Arabidopsis thaliana: one gene and its partners. The protein of the gene in region 2 interacts with the protein of the main gene of each other region in a biochemical or structural test. Each region holds a gene or a part of one and is shown on either strand. Other genes may lie near its edges. The genes, in order: SPA2, CO, NF-YB2 and SPA3.

Evidence for each region.
Region 1: the proteins of CO (region 2) and SPA2 form a complex in vitro, tested with the Arabidopsis thaliana proteins (one study listed by BioGRID).
Region 3: the proteins of CO (region 2) and NF-YB2 form a complex in vitro, tested with the Arabidopsis thaliana proteins (one study listed by BioGRID).
Region 4: the proteins of CO (region 2) and SPA3 form a complex in vitro, tested with the Arabidopsis thaliana proteins (one study listed by BioGRID).

The regions. Positions count from the first base shown.
Region 1 is NC_003075.7:6,768,912-6,778,934, forward strand, and holds SPA2 (SPA1-related 2), read left to right. Parts: upstream 1-2,693; 5' UTR 2,694-2,993; intron 2,994-3,248; 5' UTR 3,249-3,251; coding exon 3,252-4,718; intron 4,719-5,054; coding exon 5,055-5,212; intron 5,213-5,587; coding exon 5,588-6,356; intron 6,357-6,456; coding exon 6,457-6,603; intron 6,604-6,773; coding exon 6,774-7,091; intron 7,092-7,185; coding exon 7,186-7,245; intron 7,246-7,572; coding exon 7,573-7,764; 3' UTR 7,765-8,314; downstream 8,315-10,023. Other genes in the region: AT4G11100 (gelsolin protein), read left to right, coding at 125-677, 755-1,065; AT4G11120 (translation elongation factor Ts (EF-Ts)), read left to right, coding at 9,155-9,464, 9,553-9,725, 9,823-9,912.
Region 2 is NC_003076.8:5,168,846-5,176,327, reverse strand, and holds CO (B-box type zinc finger protein with CCT domain-containing protein), read left to right. Parts: upstream 1-3,242; 5' UTR 3,243-3,630; coding exon 3,631-4,392; coding exon of another isoform or gene 4,393-4,533; exon of another isoform or gene 4,534-4,625; coding exon 4,626-4,985; coding exon of another isoform or gene 4,986-4,990; 3' UTR 4,991-5,279; coding exon of another isoform or gene 5,280-5,317; 3' UTR 5,318-5,424; coding exon of another isoform or gene 5,425-5,434; 3' UTR 5,435-6,166; downstream 6,167-7,482. Other genes in the region: COL1 (CONSTANS-like 1), read left to right, coding at 1-31; AT5G15843 (uncharacterized protein), read right to left, coding at 3,946-4,099, 4,417-4,533, 4,632-4,990, 5,280-5,317, 5,425-5,434; bZIP3 (basic leucine-zipper 3), read right to left, coding at 7,177-7,482. UniProt on the Arabidopsis thaliana protein: Transcription factor that acts in the long day flowering pathway and may mediate between the circadian clock and the control of flowering.
Region 3 is NC_003076.8:19,306,532-19,312,149, reverse strand, and holds NF-YB2 (nuclear factor Y, subunit B2), read right to left. Parts: upstream 2,924-5,618; 5' UTR 2,737-2,923; coding exon 2,164-2,736; 3' UTR 1,878-2,163; downstream 1-1,877. Other genes in the region: NUDT2 (nudix hydrolase homolog 2), read left to right, coding at 1-236, 552-617, 721-858, 956-1,033, 1,112-1,162, 1,258-1,292, 1,365-1,473, 1,571-1,759; AT5G47635 (Pollen Ole e 1 allergen and extensin family protein), read left to right, coding at 4,301-4,502, 4,577-4,869; mtACP3 (mitochondrial acyl carrier protein 3), read right to left, coding at 5,265-5,453, 5,547-5,618. UniProt on the Arabidopsis thaliana protein: Component of the NF-Y/HAP transcription factor complex. The NF-Y complex stimulates the transcription of various genes by recognizing and binding to a CCAAT motif in promoters.
Region 4 is NC_003074.8:5,167,045-5,175,316, forward strand, and holds SPA3 (SPA1-related 3), read right to left. Parts: upstream 6,062-8,272; 5' UTR 5,437-6,061; coding exon 4,729-5,436; intron 4,631-4,728; exon of another isoform or gene 4,600-4,630; coding exon 4,442-4,599; intron 4,338-4,441; coding exon 3,377-4,337; intron 3,293-3,376; coding exon 3,146-3,292; coding exon of another isoform or gene 3,131-3,145; exon of another isoform or gene 3,028-3,130; coding exon 2,716-3,027; intron 2,632-2,715; coding exon 2,572-2,631; intron 2,475-2,571; coding exon 2,283-2,474; 3' UTR 2,051-2,282; downstream 1-2,050. Other genes in the region: AT3G15350 (Core-2/I-branching beta-1,6-N-acetylglucosaminyltransferase family protein), read left to right, coding at 206-782, 887-962, 1,044-1,159, 1,333-1,838; AT3G15359 (uncharacterized protein), read left to right, coding at 6,549-6,737; AT3G15356 (Legume lectin family protein), read right to left, coding at 7,559-8,272. UniProt on the Arabidopsis thaliana protein: Repressor of photomorphogenesis in the light. Probably part of the COP1/SPA E3 ubiquitin-protein ligase complex.

The DNA of each region.
Region 1 (10,023 bases), on a different chromosome or scaffold from region 2:
ACATAAAGCTTGGATATTTAGGGTTTTTGCAGAATTTTTGATTAAGCTTATGAGTTTGGTAATAATCTGTAGAAATTGGTTGATGTTGTTTCAGGTTTGGGTTTAGGACAAATCAGAGAAGAAGATGATGTTTGGTTTAGAGAAAACGATGACTTTGGAGCATGAAATTCTGAAGGAGAATCATGAGACTCTGTTGAAAGATTATGAGAGTCTTCAGGAGAGGATTAAGCATGCTGAGGAAGCTTATGAGGCTATTAAGTTGCATCATGAGAACAAAGCTAAGGAGCTTGAAGTGAGTAACAAACGCTTGCTTGAGGAATGTATGAAAGAGAGAAGGGAGAAGGCTAAGGTTAGGAAGACTTTTGAGGAGATGAAGAAGACAATGGAGAGTGAGAGAACTGCTATTGTTGATGAGTTGAAGTCGAAGAATCAGGAGCTTTTGTTGGGGAAGAAGAAAGAGGAAGAAGAGTTAGTGAAGATGGAGAATAAGTATGTTGAGTTAGCTGAGAAGTTTGATGTTGTTGAAAAGGAATGTGCTTACTTGAAGTCACTCTATGATGCGGAAGTAGTAGCTTCGGTTACTCAAAGTGCTGTAATCTCAGGGGTTGGAGAGACTGATAATCTTATTGGTCAAGGAGAGAACGAGGCTAATCAGAATGTGAACAATGCTGTGACAGGTATACATAGACATCTCTGTACCCAAGTGTTGTTTAGTTTACAATGACATTTCTTTTGAATCTATCTTTGTGTGCAGATGCGATAATGATAAGTGATGATGAAAATGATAATAATCCACCTATTGAGAGTAACATAAGCTCTCATCGGTCTGGTGATAGAAACCAAGAAGAAGAAGGCAGGAACAGAGGAAACTCAGCGACTGAGAACCGAGCTTCGGGAGAAACCTTTACTCCGGTATCTGCTAATCATCCACCGCCTTTTTCTCCTTCATCGTCATCTTCATCATCATCATCTTCAGACGGCGCTGAGATTGTGCTTAAGCTGCCTCGTAATTGGCCTGAATGGGCAATCCCGAAAGGTCCCGGGAAGGATTCCAACAAGCCTTAGAACATTTCAGATGCAACAGAGAGCCAAAAGAAGTAAATTTGAAGCTGCACTCTTAAGTTAAGCTAGTTATGGAAATCTTCTTACATATTGCTTTCTGTTTTTGTCAGGAGTTTATTTAACAATCTCTGGAACTACAACAAACTATTCTATCTACTATCAAATCAATTATTCATTCATGAGTATAATAATAGCTGAAACTTTCTGTGTTACAACAATTTCACCATAACTAAAATTGCATTTGCATTTGAATACTGCAAACGCAAATTGGCTTTGTATACGCATCTTGTTTATATATGGATTAGTTTTTTCTACATAATTAATGAAAGCTTTTGTAAACTAACTCTTGAGTACTAACTAATAAGAAAGTTCCGTGGCAAAATAATTTCCGAATCATCGGATAATCATCCATTTACGAGGTTAAGTTCCGGGAACTGCTGGTGTTAAGGTTCTGGAAGATCTCCGGAAGATTGGCATTAGTGAGTTTGATTCTCTTGCTGATCTGTTGTTTGCCATGCCATGAATATGTGCAACAGCTCTTCTCTGTGTAGTGTTCATCACACATGCTTCAAACTAAGCTTATGCAGCTCCTTCTCGACTAGCTTGTCGCTTGAGTTGTCTATGCCGCGGTATAGAGGTTTAAAGTCGTCATAAACCTGAATCTGACCCTTGAAATCAGCATTAGACAGTCCTTAAACTTTTAGAGCCAGCAAATATGAAAGACAATCCTGAAAAATGGATAATCATAAGACCACAAAAGTCTTTTGAAACCATTTAAGATCAGGAGCCAGTACACTATCCGTCTATCAGAATCTGGCAATAAATATTATCAGAAGCTTATTGATTATGAAGTTAATACATCTTAAATAGAATCAGTTAAGCGTTTTTTGTAAATCTAAATCACATGTGAAATTTCTTTATGTCACGTTTTCATTTGTGTAAAACAATATCTTTTGATTTATTAAGCAAATAATTTGCAGCTAAAGCTCTCAAGATTCAAATAAATTGAAATGTAAGTAGTGTAAGTAGTGATTTCTTATAGAAATAGTTGAAATCTAAAAGTATTAGGACACTGATGTAAGTATTGTTAAACTAAAGAGATCTATCAGGAAATCAAATCACTATAGTTTTTTTTTTTTTTTTAAATTCCTTGAGTTTATCAAACAAAAAAATGTAAATGTCCCTAGCAAGTACTGTAGGTTCATTTTTTTTGTTTCAAAAGAGTATGTTATTTCTTAAAAATCGCCAAAGATAGATAAGATTCGAAATTTGCATAAATGTGGCAATAAATATTATCAGAATCTTTTTATTGAATAATGAAGTTAATACACCTTAAATAGAGAATTAAGCGTTATTTAGATCTAAAACCACATGTGAAATTTCTTTATGTCACGTTTTTGTTTGTGTAAAACGATCTCTTTGAGTTAATTTGCAACTGAAAGCTCTCAGCATTTTACATTAATTGCAATATAAATAGTGATTTCTCATAGAATTAGTTCAAATCTTAAACTATTAGGACAGTTACGTAAACATTGTTAAACTAAAGGGACCAATATGGAAACACAAATCACTGTAGTTAATTTTTATTATTATCTTGAGTTTATCGTCTATCGTGTTCGAATTCTCTGTCGCTTACTTAAACACAGTCAAATTCATTTTCTGCCTTAGAAAAGATTTTTATCGAAAATCGACGTTTTTGAAAAAACTCAAATTATCGTCGTTTTGTTCTCAGATTTCTTCTGCTCTCTTCTTCTTCTCCTTCTTCTTCGTTCCACCGCCTCTGTTGCTTTATCTTCTTCTTCCTTCCTTCGATTGTTGATTACGTCGGTGGATCTTTGTTCTCCTCTGTGTTGTTTTCATTGCTAGATTTCGTCAATGATTGGCTTCTCACGATTCGATTTTTCCGGCTCCTGTTCTTAATTTCCTCTGAGGTAGATTAGTAAAACTCTTTGTCTCGTAAACATTGTTCGATGATGAAATTAGAAAGTTCTCACTCTTGTTTGCCAAATTTGGGATATTTCTGGAATTGAAAATGAATCGTCATTTTTTTCAATTTCTGAGGATTTTGTTACAATTGTTTTTTATTTATGTTAGAATTGAGATTGTGTGATGAATATCAGTAACCCTAGACAATTGTGAAATCAAAGCTATGAAAATCTTTTGATGCTATGTTTCCTATGATACAGAGAATGATGGATGAGGGATCAGTAGGGGATGTGAGTAGGATTGATGAAGCTGATGTTGCTCACCTTCAATTCAAGAATAGTGAGCAGTCGTTTAAACCGGAGAACATTGAAGTCCGGGAAGTAAAAGAAGTGCAGGTTCAGAGAGAAGCTGGTTCTCCTGATTGTTCTTATGGTGTAATAGCAGATTTTTTAGATGGTAAGAATGGTGGTGACCATGTGGAGCTTATAGGGAATGAACCATGTTCTAGCCGGCAGAATACAAATGATGAGGGGGATGTTGTCGAGGAGTTGACTGTTAAAACTTGTGAGGGATCGAGTATGGCTATAGTTGGTAGACCAAGTAGTAGAGCTAGATTAGAGATGAATCGCAGTCAGTTTCTGCATCGTTTTCCGCTAGACGGTGATTTACCGGGTAGTAGTTCTATGAGTAAGAAGGTAATTGACAGGGGAACAGTAAGTATCTTGAGAAATGCTGGGAAAATGTCTTTGCCTGAGACTTCAAATGGACAACTGGCTATTATTGCTGTTAATGGAGAAGCTAATGAACATTTGACAAATGTTGAACGAAATCCTGTACCTGTAGAGGCATTGTCTCATGAAGGCATCAAGACAAAGATGTTATCGCAGTCTGGGTTTTCTCAGTTTTTTGTTAGAAAAACATTGAAAGGGAAGGGAGTTACTTTCAGAGGCCCGCCAAACAATAGATCTAAAGCGAGGAATATGGATCAGCAAACTGTAGCTAGTTCTGGTAGCGCTTTAGTAATAGCTAATACTTCAGCAAAGATTTCTAGCAGCATCCCTTTGGCGGCTTATGATGGTTTGCCGTGCTTACCTTCCAATACCAGTAAACCATCTTCTTGTGCTAATCCTTCAGATACACATAGAGGTTGTGGAGGTGAAGGTTTAAGTCTGAGAGAATGGTTGAAGTCGGAGCGGCAGGAAGTTAATAAAGCAGAATGTATGTATATCTTTAGGCAGATCGTGGATCATGTGGACTGTTCTCATTCTCAAGGAGTTGTTTTATGTGACCTGCGACCATCTTCATTCAAAATTTTCAAGGAAAATGCAGTAAAGTATGTGGTTTCAGGTTCTCAACGAGAGTCTTTTGACAGCAACATGAACAAAGAGACTTTAAGTCAACTCGAAAACCCTCTGGTTAGAAGACGGTTAGGAGATACTTCTAGTCTCTCTATCCCTGCAAAGAAGCAGAAATCAAGTGGACCAAGCTCTAGACAGTGGCCTATGTTTCAACGAGCTGGTGGCGTCAATATCCAAACTGAAAATAATGATGGCGCGATACAGGAGTTTCATTTCAGATCTAGTCAACCTCATTGTAGTACAGTTGCCTGCCCTTTTACTTCAGTGAGTGAGCAGTTGGAAGAGAAATGGTATGCGAGCCCTGAGGAGCTCAGGGGTGACATGCGTTCAGCCTCTTCAAACATCTATAGTTTGGGTATTCTTCTTTATGAGGTATGCCATCTTAATTGTAGCTTTTGACCTGCAATTGTAAGTATGTACATCCATGAGTTGAAATGTGAATCTGCAAGCCCTTAATGTTGACACACATATATATGTTTTCCCGTGGGATTATGTCTTTAACTGGGACATATCGTGTGTGGGTCATGTTTGGGTCCAGATAGATTTAGATAGTGTAGCATGTTTGTTAATGAGATGGTAACAGTGAAGTTTCTCGTTGAAAGTACAGTTGGCTGCATGGCTCATAGGTTTATGTATATATTGATTCGACTGTTTCTTGGTCAAAACATAACATTTTCATTGATATACTAATTTGTTTTTTTCCGTCAGTTGCTGAGCCAATTTCAGTGTGAAAGAGCTCGTGAGGCTGCAATGTCTGATATCCGACACCGCATTCTTCCTCCCAAATTTCTGTCGGAGAATCCAAAGGAAGCTGGGTTTTGTCTTTGGTTACTTCATCCAGAATCTTCATGCCGACCATCAACCAGGCAATGCAAAATCTTTAGCTACTATAATTCTCAAATGATATAAAGCGTGTTATTGAACTTTTGTATGCTTGTTTCTGTTGATAGTTTAAGGCCATGAATCCCTAGTGGGTCTATTGGAAGATAATCTTGTTGTATATCTAGAAATGTACATATGCACCAAATGTGGAAGTTTTGTTCTCCTGGCTGTAAACGGGAGGACGATTGTCTCGTCAACAGTTTCACATAGGATTGTTAGGTTCTACTCTGAAAAATAATTAGTCTTTGTACTAACTGAGCTCCCTTTATGTGTTGATAGTCTCCTTCCTGTCATAATTTATCTGTCAAGAATGTGAGTTGGCTTAATCTCTAAATAAGTTTGATGTTGTTCTGTATTAGGGACATCTTACAATCTGAAGTAGTTAATGGAATCCCGGATTTGTATGCTGAAGGCTTATCTTTATCCATTGAACAAGAGGACACAGAGTCTGAACTCTTGCAGCATTTCCTTTTCTTGTCCCAAGAGAAAAGGCAGAAGCATGCTGGAAATTTGATGGAAGAAATTGCGTCCGTAGAAGCAGATATCGAGGAAATTGTCAAGAGACGTTGTGCCATAGGGCCTCCGTCCCTGGAAGAAGCTTCTAGCTCATCTCCTGCTTCTAGTGTACCTGAAATGAGACTGATCAGGAACATTAATCAGCTTGAAAGCGCTTATTTCGCTGCAAGGATAGACGCACATCTCCCTGAAGCACGTTATAGGTTACGCCCAGATAGAGATCTGCTAAGAAATAGTGATAATACTGTAGCAGAAGTAGAAAACAGTGAGACTTGGAGCTCAGATGATCGTGTTGGAGCGTTCTTTGATGGGTTATGCAAATATGCTCGATATAGTAAGTTTGAAACTCGGGGTGTGCTGAGGACCAGTGAGTTGAACAACACTTCAAATGTGATTTGTTCTCTGGGTTTTGATCGGGACGAGGATTATTTTGCCACAGCTGGTGTGTCGAAAAAAATTAAGATATATGAGTTCAATTCCCTTTTCAACGAATCTGTTGACATTCATTATCCAGCCATAGAAATGCCAAATAGATCAAAGCTTAGCGGCGTTTGCTGGAACAACTACATTAGGAACTACCTAGCTTCCTCTGATTATGATGGTATTGTCAAGGTATTTGAACCTTTGAAGTTTTACGTAGATTGTTTATCACTTGATTACCCCTTTATTTCCTTCGGTCTAATGAATACAAACGTATTTATGATGAATCCAGTTATGGGATGTGACAACAGGACAGGCCATTTCACATTTCATAGAGCATGAGAAGAGGGCTTGGTCTGTTGACTTCTCTGAAGCTTGTCCGACAAAATTAGCCAGTGGAAGCGATGATTGTTCTGTGAAGCTATGGAACATCAATGAGGCATGCTCTTCTATACTGGATTTTGTCGTTTTAATAGCTACTCCTACTGAGATATCTGGCATATATACATATGAATATATCAATAGCACTTTGGATTATTCTGTCAATGTTGTCATGCTCGTATTTTCAGCCTTGTAGCTAATAGACAATCTTCTTGTTTGACTGTGCAGAGGAACTGCTTAGGAACAATCAGGAACATTGCAAACGTTTGTTGTGTGCAATTTTCTCCACAGTCCTCTCACTTGCTAGCCTTTGGATCATCAGACTTCAGAACCTACTGCTATGATCTAAGGAATTTAAGAACTCCTTGGTGCATACTGTCAGGACACAACAAAGCAGTTAGCTATGCGAAGTTCTTGGATAATGAAACTCTTGTAACAGCATCAACTGATAACACGTTAAAGCTTTGGGATCTTAAGAAAACCACTCACGGTGGCCTCTCAACAAATGCTTGCAGCTTAACTTTTGGCGGCCATACAAATGAGAAGGTAGCTAATGCTGAAACGTAATTTTGAGTTAATCTATATAATGATGTTTCTCTTTTTCCTTCGTGGTTGATTTGTCTTTTCCTGCCTTTTTCAGAACTTTGTTGGTTTGTCTACTTCTGATGGATATATAGCTTGTGGCTCTGAGACAAATGAGGTATGCCCCTACAAACCTGGGAACTCTTTGATATTCCTATAACTTTGTGTATGGAATCTCCTTTTCTATAATCCTTTAACAAGCATTGCCACAGATTGATAGTTTGATTCTCAACTTAACTAGAAGCTCCAGAGTTTATTTCATGTGATGGAAAAAATCACAGTTCCATGTGAATTCCGTCTATTTATACGCGATGGAGGAACTTATCCATTGATACTAACAATTAGTAAAATAACTGGCGTAGGGTCAAAAAAGAACTAATCTGGTAGTATTGTTGTTTAAGTGATCTCTCTGATTGAGAAATATGCTGTTTCTTGTTTTGTTCAGGTTTATGCCTATCACCGGTCTCTTCCCATGCCAATTACCTCGTACAAGTTTGGTTCTATTGATCCAATATCAGGTAAGGAGATAGAGGAGGACAACAACCTGTTCGTTTCAAGCGTTTGCTGGAGAAAAAGATCGAATATGGTTGTTTCAGCTAGCTCAAATGGGTCAATCAAAGTTCTACAGTTGGTCTGAAATAAATACATACATACAGAAGAAGCTGAGGTAATTCTACACCTAGAGCCCTCTTGGTTTATGGTAAAACAAAAACCCCATCAATCCAAGAATCAGGCAAAACAACGGAGATAACGAACAAGCTTTCAACACACAGATATGAGATAGTTTTATCTATCTGTTGCTAAAGTTTTCCTCAAATGGGGTGAAGGAATGAGAGTGAGTAGAACTATAGTTGTTCAATAGTTGCGGTTTGATCAGCGCGGTAAGGGTTTATACCGCTGATGGGTATACATAGTAAGGTAAAAGACCTTCTCTTTTGTGGTGTTCTAAGGTGTTTATTTTTTTATTTTTTATTTTGGCTCTTACAATAAGATTCCTCTTTGTGATATGTAAATTTGCTCCGATAGTTCTAAGGTAAAAGAGCATACTCTGATGTATATATAGTTGAAATGAGCTTTTTAGTTCTACGGATGAATCTCCTCCACCAAGAAAAGAAAAATCTTCGTTTTTCTTTTTAAAAACTTTAAATGCATCGTTTTTTGTTGAATGTTCACAAAAGTAATCTTTGAAATGCTTTATCATTGTACATAGCTTAGGACTGAATCAGCGTAATAACGTTATCAAGGTTTCTTGCTCAATCAAGCTGCTCCAACTTGTTTATGGTCTTCTTCACTTGGTACTGAAAACTTTTTTACTTTCTGAGACAAACAACAACAGAAGATGAATCAAGGCCTTGCTCAATCTAAGATCAAGCTGTCTTACATCTATGAGAAAGACTTAAGAATCACAAAGAAGAATTCATAGTGAACTAGTGAAGCATGCCATATGGAAAAACAATTGTTCAAAAACTCCAATTGAGGAAATGTTGGAAAAAGAAAAGAACAAACCTTAGATAGAACACATTCTCAGAGAGATTGCAGTAGAATTAGACATTTCTCTTGATCGAATTTCGATTCCGAAACACAATTGAGAAGATTCACAGCTTCTTGTCGTCAAATTGGTAGGGGAAGCTTTTTCTCCATTATCATAAACCCTAAACTAAAAGTTTCTGCAAAAACAACTATTTTATCGAACTCTTAATGGGCCATCAATGGGCCCATACTTATAAACTTAAACCCTTTTCCAATTTCAGTCGTATTTTACAAAAACCATCACCGTCGTTATCACAGTAACCAAACAACTTTCATCGCCGGGTAAGCTCCATTCCCAAGCTATTTCGATCTCGTTTCACGTCGATCTATTTCTAGTCAAGTTAATCTCTTCTTTTAGGGTTTAATTAGTTAAGACTTGCGTTTGATTATCTCAAGTTCAGAATTTGTTTCTTGATGATCTAAAGGAAGGAATTTTATACTTATCAAATTGAGGATTTTTGTTTTTGGATGCAGAGAACTGATTAACATATAAGAAAATGGCGTTTGCTAGAGCAGTGAGAAGACCAATTGGAGTCTTTTATTATAGTGTTAGTAGTAGATTTAGTTCTGGAAATGAGTATTCTACTGTGGCAAGCAAATTCGAAACTTTGTCTCAGTACAAAAGCTCTGTACCGTCTGGTTACACAAGCCTTGTTCGTGGTTTTGGGAATTTCATACGGAGTTTTAGTTCGGAAGCTCCTCCTGCTGTATCTGACCAAATGAGTCTTATTAAGCAACTTAGGGAAAGAACTAGTGCTCCTATTAAAGATGTTAAGGCTTCTTTAGTTGAATGCAATTGGGATCTTGGTAAGAATTTGGTTTAGGTTTTTTGTTTTGGTGAAGGTTGTGTATGTTTTGTTGTGTTTTGAAGTGGGTTTTTTTGGATTTGACACAGAGGCTGCTCAGAAGGATTTGAGAAAGAGAGGGAAAGTTTTGGCTTCGAAAAAGTCGTCACGGACTGCTGCAGAAGGAATGCTTGCCGTTGCTCAAAATGAAGGGAAAGTTGCTGTTATTGAACTTAACTGTGAGACTGATTTTGTTGCTAGGAATGAGATTTTCCAGTACTTGGTTAGTCCCATAGCAATTTCACATTGGTTGTTGCTGAATGATGGGCTTTTTGTTTATTTTACTGTTCCTTGTCTTCTAAAATTGACATGTCTTGCAGGCTTTAGCTATGGCAAAACATGCTTTGCTGGTTGAGAGTAGTTCGCAGCAAGTTTCTGGTGTCTTCCCCTTTGGGCCGGAGCTTTTTGAGGTCAGTTTTTTATGTACTCGCTTGTTTCCTTTTTTGTTATTTAAATTTATGGATTTATGTTGTTTCCTTTGCACTGTCTGAGATATTGATATCAACTTTTCATTTCTAATC
Region 2 (7,482 bases):
CACCGGATATGGAATTGTTCCATCATTCTGATGCTGCTATGGCAAAACTAGACTGCATGCTTGTAAATTACTTCTGGTTTGAAATTCCTGCAAGTTATTACCACGGTTTTATGCATATAGGGTCTGTAGTTTACTAGTTTTGCCTAACTAGTACGAGTTAATTAGATATACACTCATACTTAGCTGCTGTAAGTTAATACAAATTTTGCCCACTTGGTAGAAGTCCTCTTATCTATGAAATACTGCCCTACAGTCTAAATTCAAACTGATGCTACAAAGAGATATGCATTAGTATAGCTAGCTGTACCAAGAACAGTCAACACGTAACTCACCTTGCCTAAGTTCAAAGTTAATGATTCCTTTCTTGGTGACACTTTCCACATCACTTTATCACGTAGAAGATAAATGATTCCACTTATGCCGCCCCAAAGACAATTTCGCACATCCCTGAGAAAAGAAAGTTGTACTCAATATGATTTTATACCAAAAGTAGATTACAGAGACAAGTGTAAACATGTAAAACTCCAATAAAATCACACACTGAATAGTCAGGTAACAAATAACCAAGAATCCTGAGTGAACAATGCTAATAGGTACAATTACATCAACGCATATTCTTGTACTGATTAGTGATTAGCATTGGTGCTAAATCCATTCCCACGAGGTTGTCTCGGATAACAAGATTCTATCACTCACAACCACTACTAGCAGAATATGTCAATGCCTATGGACCATCCAAATGAACAAAGATATTCAGTGTGAGAAATCTATTTCTTGGTCTATCTTTTAGAATAATAGCTCACTTTTTCCAAGGTATATACTGGCACTAAAGAATAACGACGCAACCAAAAGAAAAAGGGTGACACTGTAAAGCCTTCACTTTTTGCCACCTGGAAAGGGCCAGAGATCAACTTATTTACCACTAGGATAGCTTCCCACTTCAACGGTTAAGCTGATGAATTCATGTACCAAATCAATACTTTTTAGCCATAAATGAGTCAGTTTTAGTATCCACATGAATTTACCTACCAGAGTGTTGTAAATTATGTTCTTTTGGGGCCACTTACATGGATCTCATTCATTCACTGCAGCGAGTTCTCAGACCACCAGAAAATTTATTCAGTGATCTGTTTTGATCATGCAACATAAACTTATAAGCCACACAAGCAAAACAAAGATATCCCATGTTGCATATAATACGAGCTAGCATATCATAAAGAAGGAAACTTGAAGTAGCAAAGTTTCTACTAAATTTCTTGTCAGGAATTTTTAAAATGCAATGACAACCACTTGGAGCACTATGAGTTTCAGAGCCAATAGAATGTTACTATTTGGTGTGGATTCGAGCTAGCACGTGAAAGTGCATAAAAGTGATTACCTTTTGCCAAAGGTCACTGCACTTTTCCTCAGATAGTTTCTCACAGCCATGGAAAGTGGAGAATCCGCATAAACGTACAATTACAAGCTTTATATGGTCCCTCGACTCTTATTCTCTTCTCAGTCTTTGCAACTAAATAGGGTTTTCGTTAATCTGAAAGAAGCAAAGTATTCGAAACCACGGAAACCTGATAAAGAATGAAAACAAATAAGCAATAGTGTTTTCTTGAAAATCTCGATGCAACTTTGAGGATATTGTTACATATGATCTATTACTCGTAACAGTTATCCGAAGGCCTACACATGTGAGAGAAGTTCCAAACCGCTACAACAATAAACTTAATTAGAGACTGTCAACGAGCAATAATAAGCAAAACTACTTTTTTCTTGAGCTACAAGTGAAAAGGCCAATACACAATTTACTCTTCATGAACTCGAACCACGTTACAATCTCCAAAAAATTTCATCACCAAAGCACTAAAAGCCAAAGATGCCTCAACTTATCCAACTTGGCAGGATAAAGATCTCCAAAAATGCTTACTAAAGAACCTAGAATCTTTTCTTTAGAATTCAATGATCATATAACCATTTCATAACAATTCTAAATGCCATTACATTCATCGTAAAACCAGTAAATAACAAGAACTTGTATGTTAAGTTCCAATTACCAAGCAAAAAAAAACTTTTCAAAGTTTAAAGTTCAAAATGGGAAAGAGAAGTGCGGTGTAAGCAAATATGAAAGAGGAAGAGATGCGAAAAGTGTATCCTAGGACCAGCATTTTATACAAAAAAAAAACACTCACTTTTCAGCTCTTAAGGCATAGAGTGAAGGTAGCCATATGAATTTGGCCACTAGAGCGTCCGTCAAATCTCATTCTTTTTGGACCACATAATGGGTATCATACATTCACTGGACCCAAAAGCGTAACTGGAGCTAGTCCTCAAACCTAGAGAGTATCGTATCCTGTAGCTTCCACATAGTAAACATTATGAGCATAACACCAACAAGGCAACTCCAAGTACTAATGGTTATTAGTACAGGAAAACCCACGATGCTAAACACATGAATGGGTCACCAAATAGAGTGAAGATGGTTAAATTGCATCTATGGATCATGTGGACTAGTAAATGAGTGTAGCAGAAAACTTCACAATTACCTCTGTGATCTTAGAAACATGTCCTGAAAATTCCATACAAGTGTCGTTTGTATTAGATTACTTCCACAGGTTGAGATCTAATAAAGCTACAATAAATAGTATAGAGTATCATCATAAACCCAAATTACAGAGATGTGACAACACTCATGAGTCATGTTTTGTAACTACTTACTATAATGGTTACCAAGTGCAAATTTCTACATACTATATATGATAAATCTAATTATTGCTCATGTGGACTCCAAAATGCCTTTTAAGTTTTAACTTGTGCGTCAGGTAAATTCTAATTTGTAGTCTCAAGACTACTTGGCGGATTCGAGTTTGATCCTAGAAAATCCACCGTCTCTATGTTTTTCATGTCACTTTTCCGATATGATTCTCATTACCATGACTTTATGAACCAGATTAAACATTATAACACTTTTCATCAGAAAATCCTTCGAAAGTTTCAATTGCAAATCTTTCTAAATGATGCAGATGCATTCACAAATAATGGAACAACAACTATACCATATTCACGAGTTTGTCTAACCTTTGTATAGGTAGTCAACCCATAACAGTTGGTGATGGCTCTGACACTCGAAGCCTTACTCGGAGAGATACCTGAACAGTAATCACAAGGTTCAGGATGAATATTCAACCACTTAAACTTTGTATAAAGCCAAAGAGATAAAACGAATCTAGCTTTACTTTAAATAAAATGCATATGAAAATAGTAAAAGGTGATACGAAAAAATAGTAACAATTTGCCTGCAACACCATGGCATTATCCGGACCACTTCCTCTTGAGAATCTCAGTATGGCAAGTGGCAAAACCTAAGCAACTTGTGAACGGGTCCCAACGAAGAAGTGCATAGGAGGAGATGTTTACACTTTACACTTTACACTTTACACTTTACACATAGGCCTTCCCAAAAGCTCAACTAGCTGCAAGAGGATCCAATAACATGTAAGAGCCACTAACGCTGTGCCACGTGTAGGCACTCAGGATTCGATCTCCCCTCTACTTATTCTCTCACACCAGATATAAGCTTTATTAGCCCCTTCTTTCAGATACCAGCTCCCACACCATCAAACTTACTACATCTGAGTTATTATGTTGAAACAAGAGAGTAACGACATAGGTAGTGGAGAGAACAACAGGGCACGACCCTGTGACACATGCCGGTCAAACGCCTGCACCGTGTATTGCCATGCAGATTCTGCCTACTTGTGCATGAGCTGTGATGCTCAAGTTCACTCTGCCAATCGCGTTGCTTCCCGCCATAAACGTGTCCGGGTCTGCGAGTCATGTGAGCGTGCTCCGGCTGCTTTTTTGTGTGAGGCAGATGATGCCTCTCTATGCACAGCCTGTGATTCAGAGGTTCATTCTGCAAACCCACTTGCTAGACGCCATCAGCGAGTTCCAATTCTACCAATTTCTGGAAACTCTTTCAGCTCCATGACCACTACTCACCACCAAAGCGAGAAAACAATGACCGATCCAGAGAAGAGACTGGTGGTGGATCAAGAGGAAGGTGAAGAAGGTGATAAGGATGCCAAGGAGGTTGCTTCGTGGCTGTTCCCTAATTCAGACAAAAATAACAATAACCAAAACAATGGGTTATTGTTTAGTGATGAGTATCTAAACCTTGTGGATTACAACTCGAGTATGGACTACAAATTCACAGGTGAATACAGTCAACACCAACAAAACTGCAGCGTACCACAGACGAGCTACGGGGGAGATAGAGTTGTTCCGCTTAAACTTGAAGAATCAAGGGGCCACCAGTGCCATAACCAACAGAATTTTCAGTTCAATATCAAATATGGCTCCTCAGGGACTCACTACAACGACAATGGTTCCATTAACCATAACGTAAGGCTTTTGTATATTTGTTACCCCTTCAATTTAGCATCTTCCCATAACGCAGCAGGGTGAATTCTTTCATCATACACACAAATCCACTGATCCACTGCCAACAGTTGATCTATAGCACATAGAAATTTCACCAGAAGTCTATAATAAAAACAATATATGCTTCCTTTTGCATCGACTCTCTTTAGTCCTCTTACCAGGGGGATTGAGAATGTCTTTGTTTCTGTCATTAGGCATACATTTCATCCATGGAAACTGGTGTTGTGCCGGAGTCAACAGCATGTGTCACAACAGCTTCACACCCAAGAACGCCCAAAGGGACAGTAGAGCAACAACCTGACCCTGCAAGCCAGATGATAACAGTAACACAACTCAGTCCAATGGACAGAGAAGCCAGGGTCCTGAGATACAGAGAGAAGAGGAAGACAAGGAAATTTGAGAAGACAATAAGGTATGCTTCGAGGAAGGCATATGCAGAGATAAGACCGCGGGTCAATGGCCGGTTCGCAAAGAGAGAAATCGAAGCCGAGGAGCAAGGGTTCAACACGATGCTAATGTACAACACAGGATATGGGATTGTTCCTTCATTCTGATACTCCTGTGGCAAAAAGAAAAACTAGATTGCAAGCTGTAAATTACTTTTAGTTTGAGATTATGTTAGGTTTGGTGAAATTCTTAGCTTCAAGAAGTATTACTACTGTTGTGCAAATGGGTTTGTAGTTTTGGCTAATTAAAACTATAGTATTCTTCTTTCTCTGCATTAGTTAAACAAAACCAGTCTAATTGGTACAGATCCCCATTTGTGAAATATGGATCATCAAGAAGTGAAAACGCAGATTTCACCTTGCTAACTACTAAGAGGGAAGCCAAGGTTCAAAGCCAATAACTTCCCGATAACCTGAACATGTGACACTTTCACGCCTCCCTGACAACAAAAAGATTCTACAATTCAAGTTGATAACACAGACTCCTCAGCTGTAAATCACAACTTCTTACTAAAATGAGTCATATCACGTTCCTAATTGTAGAAACCATCAGCCATATATGTTCTCGGCTTCAAGAACTGTAAGAAGAAATAAGTAATAACAACCAAGTGTATAGCTTATACTATGTGTTAATGTTAAGTGATGGATTCGAGACCTCACGTGAAAAGTTCATAAAGTGATATAAGGATGCTGCACTTTGCACTTTTTTGCACTTTTCCAAAAATCTAAGGATAGTTCAGATCGATTCTCAAAGCCATCAAATTTTAAAACCATTCCCAAACTTTACATGGTCCCTGGGCCTTCATAGATTCTCACTCTTTTAACTTCTTGCTTACAAAAAAAAAACCATTCTCCTTAATCTGAAGTAGGAAAAAGTCTGCAACTACAGCATGAGTTTGACAGAAAAATTATAACACTCTGCTTTCTAAGGTTCTTATCTTGCTTCAATGACCATATACTAAAATAGCAATTTCCTCCACATAATCCACAAAAAACTTTGGTGTCATGTGAAGAAGGCCTGAGAGTAGTTCCTAACTAACCAATAACCATTACAAAGGAAATCCACAGACTGACTAAGAAGAAGTAAAGACAGAACAAATGAAAAATGCCAAAACAGAACAACACAAGCACAGCTATATCTGAACACGCCTTAAAACACCATTTAATATATAATCATCTCTATACTTACCAGAGAGTCAGAAACCAGTATAAACCCTAACATTTATACAAATCGGAATCAGTCACCATCAAAATATAAACCCTAACATTCATTCAAACTGATTTTCGATAAAGAAACTTACTTTCAACCCGTCACAATAGATTTGGGATGATTTTGGATAAATTTGAGGAAAAATATGCGAAATTCAATAGATTGAATATGCAAGGGTTTAAGGATGTGAAATTCAATAGATTGAAAAAACACAATTTTTTGCTCAATTAGATCCAAATTCATCCCAGATCGATTTTGTCTGACGAGCTGAGATTAAAGGAGTTTACCAGAAAACCCCAAATCGGGATTGTGAAGTGAAAAGCCCTAAATTTTGAGCGACGATCGATCATCAAACTTCGAAATATTCAACAATGACGCACGCAACTGGTCTTGTCTAATACTAACGGGCTGGGCCAAAGGATCTGATATAAGGCCCAATTATTCTTGCGCGATAAACTTCTGTTTCAGGGGACGGCCCAAGTAGTCTTCCGAACTAAGCTTATCTTCTTTCAGGAAGTTTCCTTTTTTGTTGTTGCATGATCATTTTCTATCTTTATCTTATCAAAAGATAATAATCTTATCATTCACGATGAGTTATTCTAAGCATTTCGACAACGAACTTCATAATTGCACAACGGATAGTTTTAAGTAAATGAATGATATTTTTAATCATCTCATTGATTTCAGAAAGATCCTCCTCGAACTATCCTCACTGAGAATGCAGAATAATTAACAAGATCCGCGGCCTTTTGAATAATTTACTTTTCTTCAAGTATATCAAACTTGGCTTCTCTATTGGGTGAAGAGGGTTTGGTGGTAGTTGTTTGTCTTCTTTTTATTTCTCTACGTATAATTATTATAAAATTATACTCTTCTTTTCCAAATTTATGTATATAATTATAAATCTTTGTTTACAGCATCATCTTCAAATATCCATCATTTAATTATCTTCTGACAAAACAACAGAAAAACAAATAAAACCCAAACTTTGGTACGTAGTTAAACGGTTTAAAAAGTGATACCAAAGAAAGAAAATAGATAAGATTAGAGGCAGAAACTTGAAGTAATGTTTTTCTCGATCAGAACAACTCATGATGGATGATGAGTTCTTGGATCATCTGTGATAGAAGAAAAGTCTTGATCCAATTCATCCATAGACGACGGAGAAGAATATTTGTCATGTATGCCTCCTCCAAGCTTCTTCATGGATGTGATAACCTGACGAAGCTCCAAGTTTTCTTCTTTAAGACTCGAGTTCTCTTGAATAACAAGATCATTGTTGTCGGAGACTTGGTTAAGCTTATCTAAAAGCTGGTGGTTCTCGCTTCGAAGCCAAGCAACCTGTGAGAGAAGCTCATCTAAGTGTCTTTGCTTTCTCATTCTTGATCTTCTTGC
Region 3 (5,618 bases), about 14 Mb from region 2:
TTCGTTTTCCTCCGGCTGATGGGTTCTCTGCGTTTCACAGTTGCTCCACCACGAGGAACAGATCCATGTCTGCTTCTAGTTCCTCCACAAATCCCATGTCCCGTGAGGACGCAACAACACTGCTTCCGTCTGTTCAAGACAAGTACGGTGGCGTGATGACCGAGATGACTCATCCCATGGATCCTTCTCTCTTCTCCACACTTCTCCGATCCTCTCTATCTACCTGGACTCTTCAGGTTCTCTCTTCCTTCTTCCTCTTGTTAAATTTGATCTTATTGGATTCGATCAAAATGACAAATTTTGTTATCCGAATCAAGATACTGGTACCGATTTGTTGTTACATAGAAGAATCATTGTAAAAGTTTGGGTGTTAAAAGTGTTAGTGTCACTATTCCGCTTGAAAATTGTTGTATTCTAATGCGGGCCAGAAACTCTCTTTCACTTTGCTGCAAAAAAAATTAAATTCAACTTTTCCACTACAGTAATAGACGGTGAATAGGACTATGAACCGATCTACTGTGAAATGTTTACAAACGTTTTTATGTACGCAGGGCAAAAAGGGAGTGTGGATCAAGTTGCCAAAGCAGCTTATTGGTCTTGCTGAAACTGCTGTTAAGGTCTTGTTTTGTTACCTAATGCGCAATCAGATATCTTTAAACCCCCTTTTGCTTATTGTTTGGAGAGTCTTCATATCACTTACTGGTTGTGTATTATGTGTAGGAGGGATTCTGGTTTCACCACGCGGAGAAAGACTACTTGATGCTTGTCTATTGGATTCCCAAAGAAGACGATACGCTTCCTGCCAATGCATCTCACCGTGTTGGCATAGGTGCCTTTGTCATTAACCACAACAAAGAGGTTTGATTACTGATGAGATGAGATTTTTAGTGTGTCTTTTTGGAACATCTCCAAGAATGGATCACATCTCTTTTCTTTTCTGTATTTGAATCCAAAGGTGCTGGTGGTTCAAGAGAAGACAGGGAGATTTCAAGGTCAAGGTATCTGGAAGTTCCCCACCGGAGTTGTGAATGAGGTGCTGGTTCTTATTAAAGCTCATTACATGGTTAGGTTCAGCTCTCTGATTCGCCTTTTTGTGTTTGTGTTGAGTCAGGGTGAAGACATTCATGATGGCTCAGTCAGAGAGGTGAAAGAAGAGACCGGAGTAAGGCTTCTTCATGCCTCAACTTTTCACTGTCCTCTTTACAGTTTACATGAGACCAAGAGCTAATCCCACTCTTCTGCATCGTATGTTTTCAGGTGGATACAGAATTCGACCAAATATTGGCCTTCAGGTAGCAACTCCAACTGCATAATCTTCTATATTGCAACATAACTGATTCTCGTCTGTTTTAAAATTCTGGCAGACAAACACACAAAGCGTTCTTTGGAAAGTCAGATTTGTTCTTCGTGTGCATGTTAAAGCCCCTTTCTTTGGAGATCAACGCACAGGAGTCAGAGATTGAGGCAGCTCAGGTAACAGTTTTTGCTCCTCACTTCAACGACTCTCCAGTCTCATCCACTAAAACACTCATAAACCTCTTCTCTTTCTGAAAATGGGAATTTGGTGCAGTGGATGCCTTGGGAGGAATACATAAATCAACCATTTGTACAAAATTATGAGCTATTGAGGTATATGACAGACATTTGCTCTGCTAAAACCAACGGAGACTACGAAGGCTTCACTCCTCTCCGCGTCTCTGCACCTGATCAACAAGGCAACTTGTACTACAACACCCGCGACTTACATTCGCGCAATTGACCTTCTTTCTCAACAAACAGAGCTTTCCTCACAGATTCTAACGAAGCTGGTTTCTTTGCTGCCTCTCTATGTAAGCATTTTGACACTTGAATCACTACATAACTCTCACCAAAACATAAAAGCATCCCAAATGAAAACATTTGCATTCAATACAATGGCTTTAGTTACATACAAGATTCAATGAAGCAGATTCGTTAGTGAATCCTATTGTTCAACAAGCACACTTGATCTTCTTTACACAGCCTCAAAATCTAAACCCTTAATGCACATCTGATTTTACATCACCAACACCAATGTTCGTTCTATCACATGATAGATACCTTATATGGGTCGTAAAAATAGGCATGTGTATACATGTATTTATGTATCTATATACAGAGAGAGATCCACTTCACCAATCTTTGTTAAGTCCTTGTCCTACCGGAGGCAGCTCCACCTCCACTGTCGCTACCGCCACCTGTGGCTCCATACATATGGTTCTGCTGGTGAAGAAACTGATGATGTTGGTGATACTGCATCCCACCACCACCACCGTAGAACCCACCGCCATCTCCGACAGCATCTCTCTGATGCTCTCCGACCTCACCACCAGTCTGTGGCCTCCCTAGTCCAGTCCTCTCCCCTTCGATCTCCCTAAACCTCTGCAAGTAAACTTTCAATGGCTCAACATAATCCTCAAAACCTAGAGTAGTCATAGCCCAGAGCAAATCGTCTCCGTTGATCGTCTTCCTCTTCTCCTTCTGACACTTATCAGATGCTTCTCCGGTGACGAAGCTGATGAACTCGGAGACACACTCCTGCATCGTCTCTTTGGCATCTTTAGAGATCTTGGCGTTGGCGGGCAAGGCCTTCTTCATGATCCGGCTGACGTTAGCGATCGGCAAGAACCTGTCTTGCTCTCTTGGAGACAAGGAGGACTGTCCGTTCTGGTTGTTCCCGTTTTGCCCTCCACCGGAATCCCTGTCGGAATCCCCCATTTCTGAAAATTACAAGGAATAAAAAAATAAACTTTACTCTTTTTTCAAATCATTTCCATCAATGATTCGAAATCGAATTCAATTGGTGGTTGACTTGAGTGGGAAGACTGAAGCGAGAAAATTTAGGGTTTTAGAAAGAGTAAAAAGAGCAGGTGTGAATTGTTAAGTGTCGGCTGGTATTGTACACAGTGGTGAAGGAGTCGCCGGAGCTTATATAAAGAGAGGACGCACGACTTCTGCTCACTTGACACGTGATCTTATATGAACCGTCCGTTTACTGATAAGATTCTGACAACTGGATACGTGCTCGACCGTCGGATTGGAATTGATCTTGTTTGAGAGATAGACAGCCCTTTAAGGCTTTGCCACGTGTTGTGGACAGTTAGTGGACCCGGCACACTTTTGTCACGAGCCGACGCGCATAAGAGGAGCGTGGTAAACACACAGAAGAGAGAAAGATAGCGCGTGGAAAACACGGAGAAGATAGGTGGGCGTTAGGGAGACAGAGGGTAACTGCCACTCAACGACCCTTCGGTCAATTTTTCACTTCTTTTTTTTTTTGTGTTACGAGCGAATTGGGTTGGATCATGAGGGTGTGGTCTGTGGTGGGGTTCATTGCCATCAAAACTGCATCGACCAATCAGATCAGACAGCTGTTTGGAAACAAAAAGCGTCCCAGTTTTGTCCACTTTTGACGGTCTCGATCTTCTCCTGTGGGTCCAACCATTGTCGCTTTTCTAAGCGTGTGATTAGTTAACATTAACAATAATCACCAGCTTCCAGCTGTATTAAGCTCTTAATGACATAGCTAATACTTGTCCCACCTGGAGAATCCTAATGGGCCGTTAAGATAATCAAACTGAATGGCCCATTAAAGGTGATGGACCTATTATCAATATCTAGGCTTCTTTTAAGCCCATACTTTTTTCAATGTAATGAGGACTTGAGAAACTGTGGTTTGGTCAAAACCCTGCTGACTCCCACCATCAACTAGATATTCTGAGCACGTAGACACGACCAAACCCACGATGTTGAAGCCGTTGTGTTCAAAGCTGAATGTGTGCGAGTATAGTTGAGGGTAGGCTTGAATCTTTTGGTTACTGCATGACTACTCTAACTGAATTGGCTTAATTAAATAAAGAAAAGGAGAAACGTCACACTAGATACAAAAACGTTGCACCAAATATTATTATTAAAATAATACTTATACAAGGAGTGAAAGAGTAGGCGAACCACTCAGTAATTGCTTCCAAGTGCCGTATCTCTCTTTCTCTTTCGCTCTCGGTTCATTGTTTCATTTGGAAGATTCAGCTCTAAATTTGACCCTAACAAGTCAGCCACGATTTTTAATATATTTAGAAAAGATACAACTGAAAAGAAAAAGGCTACTACAAGGTATAAAGAGAGACACTGCCGTACAGAGCTGTGTGACCTGAAGCCACCACGCAAAGGGTCTCTTCCTCTTCTTTAGCTTCCTTCTTCTTCTCTATATATTCATGCTATTTTCATTTCTTTAACAAAATACAAAGAAAAACAAACAAACCTCTTTTCTTTGTTTTTAACGATGGGAAGCTTCTTCATCATCCGTTGCTTCTTGTTACTCTCTTTCTTCTTGTTCACCGGAGCATTTGGGAATAATTTATGGACCAGAACGGAAATGGTGGAGATGGCTGGCTACGGTGAACAGAAACTCTCCTCTGTCGTGATCACCGGATCTCTTCTCTGCGACACTTCACGTCCTCACCTTCACTCCATCCCTATCCCAGGTATTTGTTTCTCTACCTTTTTTCTTCATGTTTCTTGTCTTCCGTCCGAATATATACTAACATGATCCTCGCAGGTGCCACCGTTGCCATCAAGTGCCACACTGGATCCAAAAGGAGGTCCAAATGGATTAAGGCTGTTACTGATGAATTGGGAGAGTTTGAAATCGATCTTCCCTCCCAACTCCATGCGATTCCACACCTTGAAAACACTTGTTTCATCAAGCCAGTATATGTGCCTAGGCCCTATAGATGCTATAACACCTCTACCAATATACACAAACCTATCAAACTTGTTTCCTCTACCAATGGTTTCCGTGTCTACACCTCAGGGAAAATCAGGTTACAGGGCCACAGTTCGAGATCATAGCAAGCTCGTTGAGACAACATTTCAACCAAAAGATTTGAACACAAACAGCTGATTCTTCAAGTTCCTTCATGTGAAAAGCATTTTTTTTGTTATGGTCCTCGTTTGCTTAGCTGGCGCTCCAGTCACAGAACCGAGTTAGAGTCTCTCTACATTGTGTTTCATGTTCCCAAAGTGTAAGAACAAACAACTGTAAGCATCATGTATATAAAGGCTCCCATGTTTTTGGTACAAAAGTAGTGTGATCACATTAGAATATATATCATATAAAATGTTTAGCAGCAAAAACCCAAATGATCATATTGGCTGAAGCAAAGACACACTGACACAGAGCATGTCTCTAAACTTGCATTAACTAAACATTGAAAACAAGAGAGACAGAAAGGCAGAGATACAACTCAGGACTCAGACGCTTTGGTAGGAGTTTCAGAGAGTATGTATGTTGCAACATCACCACAACAAGTAAGCTTATCAGCTTTCTCATCAGGGATCTCAATCGAGAACTCTTCTTCAATAGCCATAACTAGCTCCGTCTTGTCCAAGCTGTCCAACGACAAATCTTTCTGAAAATCAGCCCTTTCAGTAACCTGCAAGTAAACAAGCCCCGTGTTACAAAACAACCATTCACCAAAATAAAAGGTTATACACAAAGAAAAAGCAGCAGTTTTGTAATCCCTAACCTCAGAGGTGTTGGTTTTGTCGTATTTCTTCACCAGTTCAATAACCCTGCTCAATATTTGATCTTGGCCTCC
Region 4 (8,272 bases), on a different chromosome or scaffold from region 2:
TAGAGCTCTAACATTTGTGCTTGCTGATAGGTTTTTGTGTTTGAAACTCGAAGATTGTTGCGGATTCCTGAAAGATTAAGGCTTTTAGCTCCAAGTTTCCAAGAGTGCTGTGAATCAGCTCCCACTCTGTCTCTGCATATTGCAAGACACCGGTTTTGTTTCAGAAGTTTGTTTCTTCTTGTCTCATGATCACTAGTTTTCAGCAATGGGGTATGTAAACGTGGAGAAGAGATGGGTTTTTCCTCTTGTCATCACATCTCTCGTCTGCGTTTTCCTTCTTGCAACTTCTTTCAACATGGGACTAGTCTCTTCCCTCCGAACAATCAACGGGATTTTCTCCATCATACCTTCCCGTCTCGTCAAGAACCAAACGAGACTTGATTTTGCAGAGTCTAAAGTTGCTAGACAAACCCGTGTTTTGCCTCATGAAGACAAGCTTCCCCGTTTTGCATACCTTGTTTCCGGGTCTAAAGGGGATGTAGAAAAGCTTTGGAGAACACTTAGAGCAGTGTACCATCCAAGAAACCAGTATGTTGTTCACTTGGATCTTGAATCACCTGTGAATGAGAGATTAGAGCTGGCCTCTCGGATTAATAACGATCCTATGTACTCTAAAACCGGGAATGTATATATGATAACCAAGGCTAACCTTGTGACATATAAAGGACCAACGATGGTGGCAAATACTCTTCACGCTTGTGCTGTTCTTCTCAAGAGAAATGCGAACTGGGATTGGTTTATTAACCTTAGTGCTTCAGATTATCCTCTGGTGACCCAAGATGGTATAAAAAGCTTTGATCTCACTTTCTTATTAGTTTTGCATCAAGATATTTCTTCAGTCTTGTCTTTGATTAACTTACTGTCAATAATCTCTGTGTGTTTGAAGATCTGCTTCATACGTTTTCAACATTGGACCGGAACCTCAACTTTATCGAACACACAAGTCAACTGGGATGGAAAGAGTGAGCATATTCACGTTCTTGAGTTTCCTATTTGGTTTAGTCTTATGTTCTAGTGGACTGAGTTGTTGTTTCCTTGTGAAGGGAGAAGCGAGCACAGCCATTAATGATTGATCCTGGACTCTACTTGTTGAACAAATCTGATATTTACTGGGTCACACCTCGCCGAAGTTTGCCAACTGCCTTTAAGTTATTCACTGGTCAGTCATCTAATCCCTCTAAACTGCATTTGAATGTACATTGGATCAAAACTTCTTCTCACCATTCAAATCTTGAAGCATTATTCTCGGTGCTGTTGTATATCTATAAGACCAAAACTCTAGTCATATGCATCAAAGCTTGAAATATTTTTTCGTTACTGTTGTTGTCACAGGATCAGCTTGGATGGCTCTATCACGCCCGTTTGTAGAGTATTGCATATGGGGATGGGACAATTTACCACGAACTCTCCTAATGTATTACACCAACTTCGTTTCATCGCCCGAAGGTTACTTCCAGACCGTGATTTGCAACGTGCCTGAGTTTGCAAAAACTGCAGTAAACCATGACCTACACTACATTTCCTGGGACAATCCGCCGCAGCAGCACCCACACGTGTTGTCACTCAACGACACAATGCCGATGATATGGAGCGGTGCTGCGTTTGCTAGGAAATTCAGAAGAGATGATGAAGTACTTAATAAGATCGATAAGGAATTACTTAAACGGAGGAATGATAAAGATAGTTTTACTCCTGGTGGATGGTGCAGTGGGAAACCAAAATGCTCCAGGGTCGGTAATGTGGCTAAGATTGTTCCTAGCTTTGGAGCTCAGAGGCTTCAAGGACTTGTGACCAGGTTAGTCAACGAAGCTAATACAGGAGTTAGTCAGTGTAAATAGAAAGAATTCGAAGAAAAAAAGAACCATTATCGAAGTAATGGAGAGCGACTGTCATGATATATATATTTATACAACATATAGAGAATCTTGCAGTTGCAGGCTTTAGATAAGACTATTAGACATTGTTTGCATTGAGTAGAGATGCCTTGTAATGCCACGACCTACTGGGATTCATTTTTGTTTGTTTGAAGTCATCTCCTTCAAAATCCAATAAAATTATAACCTTTTTTTATTGAGATGTTTTCAGTTATAACAGAATATACAAATACAAAGATCCAATATTTGTATCCTCTCTTCTTTTTTTTTTCTCAATAGAAATTCTATACACAATGTTTCCACTTTCCTATCTTTTTTTTTTTTTGGTAAAAATGGTTTACCCTATATCAATCACTCCAGCAGAGCATATCTCTTGCGGAGAAGAAGAACAAGAGATCTATGAGAGGCTCAAGTCATCATCTCCAGAATTTTTATGTTGCCATTGGAGTTAGCAGCGACTAACGTAGACGACTGTCCTCGCCAGCAGATTGAAGATATGAACTGTGATGCATCGTCCACTTCGAGACCAGACATAGAGTCAGTGTTGTTGAACATGTACGACATCACTGGCATTGGGAATGCCTTGTGGTACACGAAAACCTGTAATAGATTCACAACAACAAGAAGCTCAGATAATCAAGTTTTTAGGAGACAATCTGTCAGAAAGTTCATTTTTCTTTCTGTATCAAGCCTTTACCTCGTTAGTCTCTGAGCCTGTTGCTATATACCCATCAGAGACCGATAAGCCAACAAAGTTCTGCAACACATCACAAGAACATTACATCTCAGAAACCGGAGACCGAAGAGAGTCTTGAAAGCATATTTCAGGGTAAAATGTTACCTTTAAATTAGTGTGTCCAGTGAATGAGTGAAGAGGGGATTCATTAATCCCAGAAGCAGACATCGACAAGTCCCAAAGCTTCAGTGTGTTATCAGTAGAAGAGGACACAAGAGTGGATGAATCTACAAACTTGACATAACTCACTGTCTTGCTATGACCAATCATTGTGCACAGAGGAATCTTGGGGTTTCGAAGATCGTAGTAATACACTTTATGATCTGCAGAACCAAATGCTAGAGACCGTCCGGAGTCTGATGGAAACTGGACACAGCATACATTGGCCTTTGTCTTGATGGTCCCAATGCTAACTCCCTGAAAACATTTCCAAGAAAAACAAACTCTTAATCATACATTCTGAGAATGAAGATGTTTGCATTATTGTAGAAATCAGTTTCAGTTTTCAATAGCCGACATTTCAAATTAGAATTGCCTGATTGATACTCCAGAGCTTAACGGTTCCATCATCGCTTCCGCTAGCCAGCAAAGTCGGGTCTGCTGATGAAATATCGATGGACCATACTCGCTTCTTGTGCTCCTTCATCTCTGTAACCAACTGGCTTCTTGCAACATCCCATATCTGAAAACAAAAACATATGTATCCCAAATTGGTTTTATGAAACTGGAAGTTTTTAATAACGCTAGAGCTGAATGTAAAACTAACCTGAACAACACCATCAAAGTTACTTGATGCAATTTGGCTCTTTATGTAGCTGTTCCAACATAAACTACTTAGCTTTGACCGACCAGCCAATTCCACCACCGGATAGTGAATATCCCGGTTATCGTTTACTATGGAGTTACATTCGAATATCTTGATTTTCTTGTTGACTCCCGCAGTGGCGAATAATTCTCCTTCTCGGTCAAACGCAAGAGCGCAAACGAGGTTAGAAGAGTTCAACAAATCTCCTTGTTTCAAATCAGCTTTCACTCTTAGCTGACTGAATGATAAATATCTGCACAAACCCTCAAGGAAAGGATCTATCCACCCCCCTTGTCTCGAGTCATTATTGAAGAAAGCTTTGGGTGCCACCGGGTTGCTTACTGAACTTTTCTCTGAGACAATCATAGAACCTCTTCCATTTTCACTACTTAACGGCGAATGTCTAGTTAATGATTTCCCTGAAGCAGCAGCCTTCATTTGCCTGCGCCTTGTCAGAAAGTAGACCGATTCTAGTTTCTTGAAGTTTCTCATCAACCGGGAGCTTTCAAGAAGTGTGCTTCCTTGACTCTCTTCATCAACTTCAACACCGTTTTCCAATGCCAGAATCCCTTGTCTAACCCGTTTTCTTGAGGCCAAGAATGCTGATGGCTCCTCGTTTGCCTGGAAACTCATCAATGGCTGACCAGAGGTATATTGATGATCATCTTTACTGAAATCAGAGAGTGAGCTTCCCCTTTTCTTCAAAATTAACTGTCTCTTTACAACTTGCTCAATGTCAGAAGAAAGAAGTGAAACAGTATCCTGCAATCTATACGCAGATTCTTGCTTCCTCTGTTGAATCAGTAACAAGAACTCGAGTAACGACTCCTGTTCCTCGATTCTGTCCCGAAGCTCGATTGCTGCTTCACGTTCTTCCAAATTATCTCTAGGTTCAGTTATAAACTCGCTTTGCAGCAAGTCACTGCACCATAAAAGACAAATTCCCCATTAGTTCCATGTAGTAAAAGATGACAGAGACTAACAATGCTCAACCTAAGAACATGAAGTATAAGACAATATGTAAACCTCATTGATGGTCGACAAGTTGGCTCAGGATGCAGTAACCACAAGCAGAAAGAAGCTTCTTTTGGACATTTGAGCAATATCTGAGGCGGAAGAACGCGATGTCTAAGACTAGACATAGTTCTAGACTTCTCTTCTCTTGAAGGTACAGGGCAAAATAGCTGCAAAGGGACTAACTTTCATCTCATCACCTTTTCAAGAAAATAAACACGCAAAACAAAAACAGAAACTTTGAATCCAAAAGCAGTTACTAATTTGTTAGAAACAATGTTTCTTTCTTTATCACAAACCTCGAAAAGAAGAACGCCAAGGCGGTAAACATCTGAAGCACAAGTACTTGAAGAACCAAAATCCTCTTCAGGGCTTGTGTACCAACTTGTCTCCATTGCTAATATATGTTTCATCGGAAAAGGTTGGGTTTTTTCTTCCTCTAGTTTCTCGATTTTTCTCTCCAACAACTTATTGTAGACTCCTTTCTCTTCTATTGCAATAGCTTTCGATACAGCTTCCTCTCTTCTCGAGCTACCGATTTCCTTCTGGCTAATTGGACCATCCTCCAAGGAATCAGAGCCAGAGTCCGAACAAGAAGCAGATTCAATGAACGAAACATGGTTAAACGAAGACATGACAAAACATGATGGCCTGACATTATGAACAACAATGCCTTGAGAGTGAGCCGCATTCACAATCTCAACAATTTGTCTGAAAACGTGCAAGCACTCGAAAACATCAACAGATCGTTCAGGTTTATCCAGCCACTGTCTCAAACTAACATCACCCCATTCCAAGGATCTAACAAAAGGATCAATCCCTAAAGAATCATCTTCACCAGACTTGTGTGTGCTAGTACTACCAAACAAGCTTCTGACATACTCATCAACATGAGAGGAAGGCTTGGAACGAGTAGTGAGTCTCTCAACAGGTAAGAACTCAGTGTTCCTATCTGAAACACCAGAGGTATTGAATCCCCTAGAGTTAGAATTTGAAGAACCTTCCATTTAACATCCACCAAAAGCTAACCAGAAACCAACACGTAACCAATGACTTCTCTGTATTCCCAACTCTAACTGGAATCATTTCGGATTCAACAGCTCATTGCTTAAAGATCGTTACACATTCGCCAAGAACTTAGACTCTCACAATGTAAAGCCCCTTTTTTAAGTGATCCCACTCAAGAAACAAACCCTAGGCTATAAACAGAAGAAAACTCAAGAACCTAGGAGACCCATTTAAGAACAACAACACTCAAAAGATAAAAATATATACAAGAAAAAATGCAAATCTTTTGATCATGTAAAGAGCCAAAAAAAAGAAAGGAAGCTTCTTTACCGCAAAATTAGTGAGAGGGAGAAGATAAGAAGTATCTAAAGGAGAGAGGCCACCCAGAAATAATCTTTACGAGATTGAAACAGAGCCACACAACAAACAAACACCAAACACAGTTTTAAACTCGGAAAAAAAAGCAGAAGAAGGCTCTCTCTCTCAGCCTCATAAATTCTCGGCCTTTTAGAATAAAAACAAAAAAACGACTGCTGAAAGAAACGATTCACTGTCGAAATCGTTCTTTAATATATTTATATAATATATCTCTCAGTTCAGTTTTTTTTTCAATATTGATAATCACCCACCCTCTCTTTACACGCAAGCAACGTGGTTAATCTTCGACCTCACAAATAACAGAACGTAAAAGGAATGACCTTTTTTTGTGCCAAATGTATAAATTTAGACAAACATTGAGGGTCAAATCTTCAAACTTTTGCTCTGGAATTAAGAAACATTTTTTTTTGTTTTAGGCTCCTTTATTTCTTCCCAACAGAACAGCAACTAATTCTGGGTACATAATTGAGGTTCTTATGAAAACAAAAACAAAAATAAAGACCAGATCCTTTTAAGAGGAGTGAATCACTAAAGTTCAAAGCATGTAGTCCTCTCTTGAGTCTCCTATAAACCCAATTAACAAATGCAAAAGCAAAACAATAAGGCATATTTAAAACTAAATAAAGATTTGGCTCCGGTTACCAGTCTCTGAGACAATACCTAAACTGGATTGGACCGGTTTAGGTTTAGCTGTTCTTGGCGCTGTTTCTCGAACGACCAACTCAAATGTGCCATGATACTAGCAAAACCGGTGGACCGTGGACATGTTTTCAAGAAAAAACTTAAGAGCGATCTCCATAACAAAACTAAATGTCAGACCAACATGTCTCCAATGCGATCATATTTGACAGCTAAGATGTTGGGTTTTGAGAATGCCATTGTCGGTTTTGTTGAGACTATCCAGGCATGGTTTCGAAGTTAAATTTGAGAGAAGAATTGGTGTCAAAAAGCAAGATTACAGAGTTTTGTGAATCGTCATTTCGTCACTGTAAGACATCGAGTTTGAAATTGTTTTACGGCAGAACAATTATTTCATTCGAAGCGTCATTTCAATAACGCCAAGTGGGTGCGTTACAAACGCCACCAGAGTCTCCAACAAAATTGACCTATCTAGTGTGTTTATCTATCCGATTGGGGATAAAAAAACGATATTCTTGATTATTGAAGTCGAATAATAATCGATTCTACTACTTGTAATTCGTGTCCCCTATCTTAAATGAAACATTTGTTTAATTCATATTTCGTGTATAAATCTAAGACATTCCACGTTTATAATCTTCTGCATGGGAAGATATATTTTATATTTTATTCCGTGAAGAAAACAAACAAAGCTAAATTATCCTCCGTTTATTTAAATATAAACCGTTTTCATTGCGTGGATGCAATAATTTGCTCCTTTTATTTTATCATCTTCAATCGATAGAAACATGTATGTATCCAACTATCCATGACAAATACAATAAGACGACGTCTAGAGCTACTGATGTTGTATAGAGCTTAATACAATCTCCTACCTTGCAAATCATGCAAATCCAGTTACTAAAAAAAAAGAATTTGGAAAGGAAGTTTATTTTATTGAAAACCTCTGAATTATTCAGACTGATTACACAAATATGAAAATACAATGCAGAGTAAGCCACAGGTCGGCTTATTTTATTCATACCTTAATTATTCACTCTACAACAATTACAAAAACAAAGCAAACGATACCTAGCCAAACTGAACCGAACCGAACCGGTTTACTTAGTTTTCAAACGACCAGCTCCAAACATCGTGACGCTCACCGGCACGTCCCATGGAACCAGCAAAACCAGCGTACATGTTTTGAAGAAGAACATCATTGAGTACTCTCGAACCTTGGATCAAAGGCCTCTTCGGTTTCTTAACGTTTTCAGGGGCGATGGTAATGGTATTCCTAGAGTCTTTGCTTCTGAACTCGATCCAAGCCTTGAACCTCTCTCCACTGCTAAGATTCACATCTTTAAACGACCAAACTTTTCTTTTTCCGACTAATGTCTGAACCCAATAACCAGCTTTCTCAGCGACAAGAGAAGTCATCGAGTTGATGTTGATTCCGACATGGTTACCACTAATGTCATTAGACTCATTGTTCTTAAACGTGTCGAATTCGATAAATATGAGGTTGTTTTCTGACTTTCCATCGTTGGTTTTGTTGAGGATTCCGAGATATCCTCCGCCGGAAGCGCCGGAGTTATCAGCGGCTGGGACAATGACGAAGGCAAGGCCTTGACCAGAATTAGGTTTGGTGCGAGGAGTGATGGAGAAAGTGAAAGAAGTTTTAAAATCAAAAGGAGAAGAAGTGTTTGAAGATTTGAATTGGATTGGATTGATGTAAAGACCCTGACCATGAGAGAATGGGGTTTCGTCTCGGGTCATGGAAAGAGCTCCGGATCGGCTTACGCCATCAGAGGAAGGACCAAGCTCAGCGTCTCCAAG